2 linked regions of the Oryctolagus cuniculus genome follow. The protein of the gene in region 1 purifies or fractionates together with the protein of each later gene. This does not show direct contact. Links are inferred from orthologs where the notes say so. Each region holds a gene or a part of one and is shown on either strand. Other genes may lie near its edges. The genes, in order: TAF5L and ATXN7L3.

What was found.
Region 2: the proteins of TAF5L (region 1) and ATXN7L3 purify together in Homo sapiens (affinity purification with mass spectrometry; 7 studies listed by BioGRID and IntAct, counting the BioPlex papers as one, with this or other methods). This does not show direct contact. The link is inferred for Oryctolagus cuniculus from reciprocal best matches to the Homo sapiens genes TAF5L and ATXN7L3.

What each region holds. Positions count from the first base shown.
Region 1 is NC_091444.1:49,353,079-49,356,879, forward strand, and holds part of TAF5L (TAF5-like RNA polymerase II p300/CBP-associated factor-associated factor 65 kDa subunit 5L), read right to left. Parts: intron 495-3,801; coding exon 390-494; intron 1-389. UniProt on the Homo sapiens protein: Functions as a component of the PCAF complex. The PCAF complex is capable of efficiently acetylating histones in a nucleosomal context. The PCAF complex could be considered as the human version of the yeast SAGA complex.
Region 2 is NC_091448.1:19,059,378-19,063,642, forward strand, and holds the start of ATXN7L3 (ataxin-7-like protein 3), read left to right. Parts: upstream 1-1,382; 5' UTR 1,383-1,523; intron 1,524-1,648; exon of another isoform or gene 1,649-2,225; intron 2,226-2,335; exon of another isoform or gene 2,336-2,476; intron 2,477-2,891; 5' UTR 2,892-2,951; coding exon 2,952-3,002; intron 3,003-3,283; coding exon 3,284-3,416; intron 3,417-3,594; coding exon 3,595-3,766; intron 3,767-3,918; coding exon 3,919-4,016; intron 4,017-4,188; coding exon 4,189-4,211; intron 4,212-4,265. UniProt on the Homo sapiens protein: Component of the transcription regulatory histone acetylation (HAT) complex SAGA, a multiprotein complex that activates transcription by remodeling chromatin and mediating histone acetylation and deubiquitination.

The sequences.
Region 1 (3,801 bases):
ATTCCTGTGCATCACTTGGTATTACCATGTCCTGTGACTGTAGTCAACGAAAAACCACAGCCAGGTAGCAGTACCAATACAGGTTTGGGTGATCCCACCAGGCAAAGAATCATGATTAGCTGGTTTAGCTTTTGTTTATTTAACATAAGTCACAAGTCACTGTACTGAGGGCCACAGATAAAACAGCCAGAATCCTCACCCTTGTTAACTTTAACCTTACAATTTCACTTTCTCCAGACTTTCAACAGGCCGAAAGTTTTGGAGACCATGCGAGGACAGTGCTGAAGTACCTGTGATCTCTACTACCAAGTATAACGCCTGGCACGTAGTAGGGTCCAGAGGGAAACTGCAGCACTCTAAGAATAGAGTTCCTGGTGCTGAGTACTTACCAGTGAGAAAATTCCTCAGTCGCCCAAACTGTACTTCATATTGCTGGGGTTCTGCCTGGCAAGGGGTTGCAGACACTATATTGGCACAACCAGATTCGGATTGAACTAAAGAGGAAAAGAGATACACGACAAGGATAAAAAGACAATTATTAACCCATTATGTGGCATGACAGGTGGAGGAGGGTACTGGGCATACATTAATAGCAACTGCCATTTCATCACATTTGCAAGGTATCTTGAGGGTTGTGGTTAAATGTGACATTGATGACACCTGTTTACCCCCCCTCCCTCATGACACCTAACCAAATGAGAAATGAAACTGTTTATAAAGTATAGGATAAGTAAGTCAAGTGAGAGAGGAAAAGCTGAGCTGTAGCTGGAAGTGTGTGACCCAAGTTCTGACACTTAATAATAACATGCCTTGGTGTGGAGCCACTGTCAAATACAGGCTGTATTACCTAGTGGGCCCTTTCAATCTGGAAATGCATGCTTCCCAGTTCCAACAATGACTCCATTTTCTTCAATCATTTTGAAATTCTCTCCTATCTGCTAAGACACCTGAGTTTTTTTTCTTAAGATATATTTTATTTATTTGAAAGGTACAGTTACAGAGAGAGGCAGAGACAGAGAGATAGAGGTCTTCCAGCTGCTGGTTCACTCCCCAAATGGCAGCAACAGACAGAGCTGAGCCAGCCAGAAGCCAGGAGCCAGGAGCTTCTTCTGGGTCTCCCACATGGATGCAGGAGGCCAATCCTCCACTGCTTTCCCAGGAGCATTAGCAGGGAGCTGGATCAGAAGTAGAACAGCTGGTATTCAAACTGGTACCCATATGGGATACTGGCACTGCAGGCTGGGGCTTTAACCTGCTACACCACAGCCCCAAGACACCTATTTCAAGGCTGGATATCCTAAATTAACCCATGAATTTTCTCTCCCATAGTCCATATTTTTGCCTTTTGGCTCTACTTTCTGGGAAGTTTCCTCAACTTTCAACTCCACTTGTGTTTTTTTTTTTTGTTCTTTGAAAGTTTTTTCTTCCTCTAAAAGCATTATTTTCTTGTTCCAAAGCTATTACGGTGGTTAAAGTTTTCTTCTGTTTCTTTTCATTGGTCTCTCATATGGGACACATTTCTTCTAGCAGTCTCATGGTTCCAGCGCTGATGAATATTCTGCAGTTGGTGTCACTCATCTTCCAGGCCACACTGGAGATGTCATGTGCCCAAATCAATGTCTTTCACTCTTTTATGGTGGGTAGGTCAGACTCACCATGGGACAATCTTTTCCTTGTAGATGTGCCTGGCTATATCATTCAAGGCAGCTAAAGAGGGGAAGCAGGCTGGAGTCTCTATATTAAATATGTAAACATGGACTTAATCCCATTCTATGAAGTCTATGCTTTCTCAAAAGAAAACTCCTTGGGGTAGACATTGTAGTACCATGGGTTAAGCCTCTACTTGAGGCACCCACGTCCCATATTCCAGTGCCAGTTTCAGTCTCAGTTCTTCCACTTCTGGCCCAGCTTCCTATTAATATATCCTGGGAGGCAGCAGATGATGGCTCAAGTGCTTGGATTCTTGCCACCCACCCGTGTGAGAGACCTGGATGGAGTCTAGACTACTGGCTACGGCCTGGCCTAACCCTGGCTGTTGCAGGCATTTGGAAAGTGAAGCAGCAGATAGAAGGCACAAGAAGGGAGATACAGATGAGAAGAAAGTCGGAAGACCCTACCAGAACTCAGCAGCTGGAAGCAGGAGGATCTGCTAGATAGCTCGTGTGGGAGAGCGGGACTCCTCCCTCACCTTCATAGTGCCCCCACCTTTATCTAATCAGTCACTAAGTCCCAGAGGGTCCGACAATCTACTCTCTCCTCTGCATTCCCATTACCACTTTCTTACCTTGGGCTGCTCTCACTTCTAACTGTTGTAGAGTCCCTGACTCCCTCCTCAATCAATACTGCCATCAGACTAACTTTACTAAAATTTAGATTCAATAACTTAGATGCCTTCCTCAACTTGCTTGTATATTCTGAATGGTTCTTTGAAAACCAGCTCAATCCTTCTATTGCTTACTGCCCTCTGTCCAACTGCCAAGAGCCAGGAGACCTCTGGGGAAGCCCTCCTTTGACCTGTCTATATAATGCCACAATCATGTTCTCTGTGCCTTCTGAACCCAAAGCACCCCATCTTCACAGAGCTTACTACATCACACTCTCCTATAGCCACTGATGTACCTGCCTCACTTCCTGATTAGAAAATTTAGCTTCTCAGGAGACAGGAGCAAATAGCTGTCTCTAGAATTTCCCAGCACTTGGTCTAGATGATAGTCAATGAACGTCTGAATGAAGACAGAATTACTTATGACAACCAGATCCCATGTTTCTCACTTTTCCGACAGTCCTCCAGGAGCAATACAGACTTGTCTCATAAACCACTGTATCTAAATGAGGATGACCAAGAAGAGTAAAGACCCTTTACCAGTGGTCATTCCTACTTTCTATCAACCACAGCACACAATTACTGCTCCCACAGTCCAAAAAACTACAGAGGGAGTCAGGAACCTCTTCTTGAGGACATCTTCAGGTCTGTACTGTTCTGCTGCTCTTCTGCTATAGCAAAGGCAATAAACCTTTGAGCATAAAAGGCTGGGCCCTTGACTTTGACAGTGGTATGAAACGAGGGAGCTGTGGTAACGCTGTGACCAATGTGGACCCCGAAACCATTAAGGCATGGAAAAGTTGGTGACAGATACAAGAAGAATAGAGGAAGGCCAGGAACAAGGAGGAGAAAAGGACCCAGGCTGAGCGTATTAAGATGGGAATGAGCCAGCTCCAGCACCACTGCCACAGAGCGATTACAGTAGTTCACATCCCAAAGCAACACCGTGATGTTTTCCCACAATCTCCAGTACTGTATACAAATTCCATGTAAGAAAATCATATCATCAAAAAGCTGACCTCACAAAATAGCTATACAACAATTACATTTTATTCCAGATAGAGTCAAGACAAGTTTTTCTCAAATAAGAGGGTAGTTCAAAAAGCTCATGGAAAAACAGAATTAAAAGATAAGTTTATTTTGGTGCCAAAAATTTTAAATCCATACAGACTTTTTCAGAATACACGTTTTCCAGGAACTTTCTGGAGACCTTCTCATAGATTCGAGTCACAAAACAAGTTTTAAAAGCCTTAGACTACATCTACAGTATCAGCATTTCCAACTACTGATCCCAAAGTACTCATTTACCCAACAAATGTGACTTCTGTGTGAGAGGGTCCAAACTAAAGGGGTACCTGTGTGAGAAGGGATGTAAGGGTCTCACAGGACAAGACTTCACAGAAACAAAGAGTAGCACATGCCATCAGGTACAGATAACGTGAGCTAGACACTGTGAACAGGAAACAGGGCTTTGGCAG
Region 2 (4,265 bases), on another chromosome or scaffold:
CGTTAATTCCCACAATCACTAAAGACATGCTCCCAAAGGGTGAGGTTTCAGCGTCTCCCCTAATCTCATCCCTTGGGGGGAGAGGGCTGCCACACCACCATGCCAGGAGGCGCGCACTGCGGCTGCGGAAAGGGGGCTCGGAGTGTGCGCACAGGGACACCCCCAAGGGAGCGGCACTGGGTCCCGGATAGAGTCCGGCCAGTGCCAGGCAAGCTGTCCGAGAGGTAGGGGGTCCAGCGTGGGTTCCGGAAGCAGGAAAGGCGAGCAGGTGTGGGATCTAAATTAGGATGAGGGTGGGGAGAGCGCTCCGCTCAGCAGGGCGCAGCTCGGCTTCCGCCCTCAGCCGTGGACCCTCATCCCGGGCGGCTCCCGGTTCACAGAACCGGAGCGGGCTGCGACCCGCCCAGACACCAGAGAGACGGAGGCGCGGCCGAGCCCCCCGCGGCTCCATGGGTCTTCCACCCTGAGAGCCTGCCGGCGCCCCGCTTCAAGTCCGTCCTCGTCACAGAAGTGGCTGCCCGCCTCAGCGTGAAGGTGGGGAGCAGGGGTGTGCGGGGCGGAGAGGTGGGGGCGGAGAGCCCCGAGGGAAGGGCGGGGGAGCCTGGGCCGGAAGGCGTCCCAGGCTCGGCTGGGAGCCGGCGCTCTCTTTCGACGCCACCCGCTGCCCCCGCCCCCGAGCCGGCCGGGACGGCACAGCGTCTCCGCCCCCAGCGCACCGCGCACCTCACCTTGAACGCTGCTCCACCCACTCCCAGCCTATTGGGCCTCCCGGGCGGAGGCGGCCCGGCGATTGGCCAGGGTGGCCCAGGGAGGCCCCGCCTCTCTCCCCGCCCCCGTTCCCGTCCGCCGGTACTTTGGACGGCGGCGTGGCGCCCCTCCTCCCCTCCCGGTCCCCGCCCCCTGGAGCAAATGCTGCCGAGCTGCGGCCGCGGGGCAGATGCACGCGCTCGGGCCCTTCTAGCAGGCGCGAGCAGGCGCTGGGCGCGCGAAAGCGAAAGAAGGAAGAGGAAGGGAGGGCGAGGGCGGGGTGTTGAGGAGGGGCGGGAGGAGGAAGAGGAGGAGGTTGGAGCGCGCTCGCGCTTGGCCTCGCGCCCGCGCGGAGGGAGGGGGAGAGGGGCGCGCGCGCGCACTCTCGCGTTCTCGCTCGCTCCATCCATCCATCCTCCGGTCGCGGCACGCGCGCGCGCTCCGGGCTCGCGCCGCACCCCCCGCCCGGGAGAGGCGGGCTGGAGTGGGGGGCGGGGGGAGGGGCGCGCGGACGGCGCGCGGACTGCGCGCGGGCGGGGTGAGGTGAGGAGGAGGAGGCGGCGACGGGACGAGAAGGGAGGGGAAGGGGCCATGGCCGCCCGGTGAGGCGGCGAGGCGGGGGGGCGCCCCGACCCCCCGGCCCCGGGCCCTGGGCCCCGGGGAGAGGCGAGGACGGACCGACGGACATGGGGCTCCGGAGCAGCCGCCGCCGCCGCCGCCGCCGGAGGACGCGGCCCTGAGAGGCCGCCGGGCCCCGGCGCGGCCCCCCGGGCGGGGTGAGTACGGGACGGAGACGGGAACGGGGGAGGGGCCTGCGGGGGGCGGGGGGCGGGGCCCGAGGCGGGGCTTGGGCCCCCTCCCCCCAGGTCTGGGTCAGCGCCCCTTCCCCTCCCCCCGGGCCGACGCGGAAACGCCCGGCTTCCCCCGGCTTCCCGGCCCGGCCGGGGCCCCCTGCTCTTCCCCCTGTCTGGGTACCCCCCTTGGGCGGGGCAGGGCCGGCCGGGGAGGGGGCGCGGGGCCTTTGTTAGGGAGCCAGGCCCCAGCCCCCGGGACAATAGAGACACCCTCCCGGACTCCTGTGCCCGGTCGGGCCGGGCCGCCGGCAGGCTGGGAAAGAGAGGGGCCGGGACGCGTCCCACTCTGCCCACTCTCTGGGGGTCGGTCCGGCCCGGCCCGGCGCCGGCCTCGGGCGGCTCGGCTCTCCTCCCCCCAGTCGGTATGATGCAGCAGTGCCGCAGGGACGGGGGAAGAGCCGAGGCCGGGCCTCCTACCCTGCCCAGTGCCCCTGGCTCGTTTGTCAGTCCCCACCCCACTGTGGGCCGGCAGCCCCTTAAACTCGTACCCACCGTTCGGAGGGGCCCCGGACTGTGGGCGCTGTTTCTGAATCCTTTGGTGGGGGCTGCTGGACTTTGGGGCTCTTGGAGAGACTTCCGGGCAGGTCCTGAGGGAGGGAGGGTGGCTCTCGGAAAGAAGAACAGGTAAGGGGAGTGCCCTGCTCCTGGCGTGGCGTGGCGTGGCGTGGCGTGCCACCCCACCGCGCGCTGTCCCCTCCGCCGGCGGCGGGCCTGCGGTGCCCTTTAGCGCCGGGCTGCGGCGGGCTCTGCCCCTCTCTGGAGCGGCCGGCTGATTTCAAGGGAAGACCGAGTGGGGTGAAGGTGGTAGGGTCCTAGGGCCATTGCCACTTCTGGTAGCAGTACCCCCCCAAGTGGACATCCTGGCCGAAGCAGAGGTGACTCCGAGGAGAGCCTTTAGGGGAGGGGGGGTGTACTTAGGAGTCTGTGCAGTTCTTTGCCACACCCTGTGGGTTCGCTTTGAGGCCTGAGTTCCTTCTCCTCCCCCTGCTGCATTGCACCATGGGTACCCGAGAGGGGTTTGAGTTTTGGGGACCTGGGGTGAGCAGCTGCCTGTTGTAGACCCAGGCTGAGATTGGCAGTGGCGTGCAGGGCCCGGGCTCAGGCCTGGGGAGGACTAGGCCACCTCGGCTTCAGGCCGGCCAGAGCGGCCGCACTCAGTGAGCCTGGGCCTTGGGGGAGAGAGAGGCCCTGCTTCCAGGATCCCACTCTGGGCAGCGAGGTGGGACGGGAGGTGGCAGTCTCCAGGGGTGCCTTAGATTCACACGGACACCCCCACCCCCATGTGTGCAGCCGTGTTGCCGCCCGCTGTGCTATGAGCAGTCAGAGCGCCGTCTCCACAAGAGTTTACAAATGAAAATGGAGGACATGTCTTTGTCTGGCCTGGATAACAGCAAACTAGAGGTGAGGGCTCCCCCACGTGCGCCTCTGGTTCTCGCTCTCGGCGTCTCCACGTCGCAATACCTGGCATCCCCACCAAAGAGGAATCTGGGTAGTCAGCCTCGCTCCTTAAAGGGAACGGCCAGCTGCGGAGGCCCGAGGACCCAGGAAGCAGAACGAACGCGAAGCCACGATGGGGACAGTGGCAGAGAGCGCATGCTGTGTGGCCGGGGCTGCGTGGCAGGCGCCGTGGTTGGCGAGAGTCGCGCCTCTCGTGACCCTGGGTGTTCTCCCCTGGGGCCCAGGCCATCGCTCAGGAGCTATACGCGGACCTGGTCGAGGATTCTTGCTTGGGATTCTGCTTCGAGGTGCACCGGGCTGTCAAGTGCGGCTACTTCTTCCTGGACGACACGGACCCCGATAGCATGAAGGATTTTGGTGAGCTTCAGGGCGGAAGGAGGACAGCGTGTCCCCTGCCCTGGCAGCCGCCCTAGCTGAAGAGCCCGGAGCTCCTGTGAGCTCAGACAGGGCTTTGAAGAGGCCTCGGGACCAGGGGTGGGGGCAAGAGGCGAGGGCGCCCTGCCCGCCCTGACCGCCACACCTCTCCTGTCCCCAGAGATCGTGGACCAGCCGGGGTTGGACATCTTTGGACAGGTTTTCAACCAGTGGAAGAGCAAGGAGTGTGTTTGCCCCAATTGCAGCCGCAGCATAGCTGCCTCCCGCTTTGCTCCCCATCTGGAGAAGTGCCTAGGAATGGGTCGGAACAGCAGCCGAATCGCCAACCGCCGGTGAGGGCCTTCCCCCTGCTGGAACCCGGCCTGCGCTGTGCTGTGTCCGCAGGGTGGGCCGTCCCTGGCCCCCAGTGCTCCTCTGTAGTTCTGGAGGTGTGGATGGGAAGGGGCAGCGGCCTTGACCCTCCCCTGTCTCCTCCCCTTGGCAGGATTGCCAATAGCAACAACATGAACAAGTCTGAGAGTGACCAAGAGGATAACGATGACATCAACGACAATGACTGGTCCTATGGCTCGGAGAAAAAAGGTGTTTGGGGGACAAGGGGATGCGATGGGCCGGTGGGGTGGGTGGAGGGTACGCAGTGGTCATGAGCTGTCCTGAGTGATGGGGGCCGTGTGTCGCTTTACGCTCTTTCCTGGCTGCCCTCAGATTGAGAACACGAAGTAACCCTGCTCTGTGGTTTTTTTGCCCCTCACAGCCAAGAAGAGAAAATCAGACAAGGTGAGAGCGGGGCAAGCACGGGGAGTGTGGGCCCAGGACAGCTCCCCTCCCCCG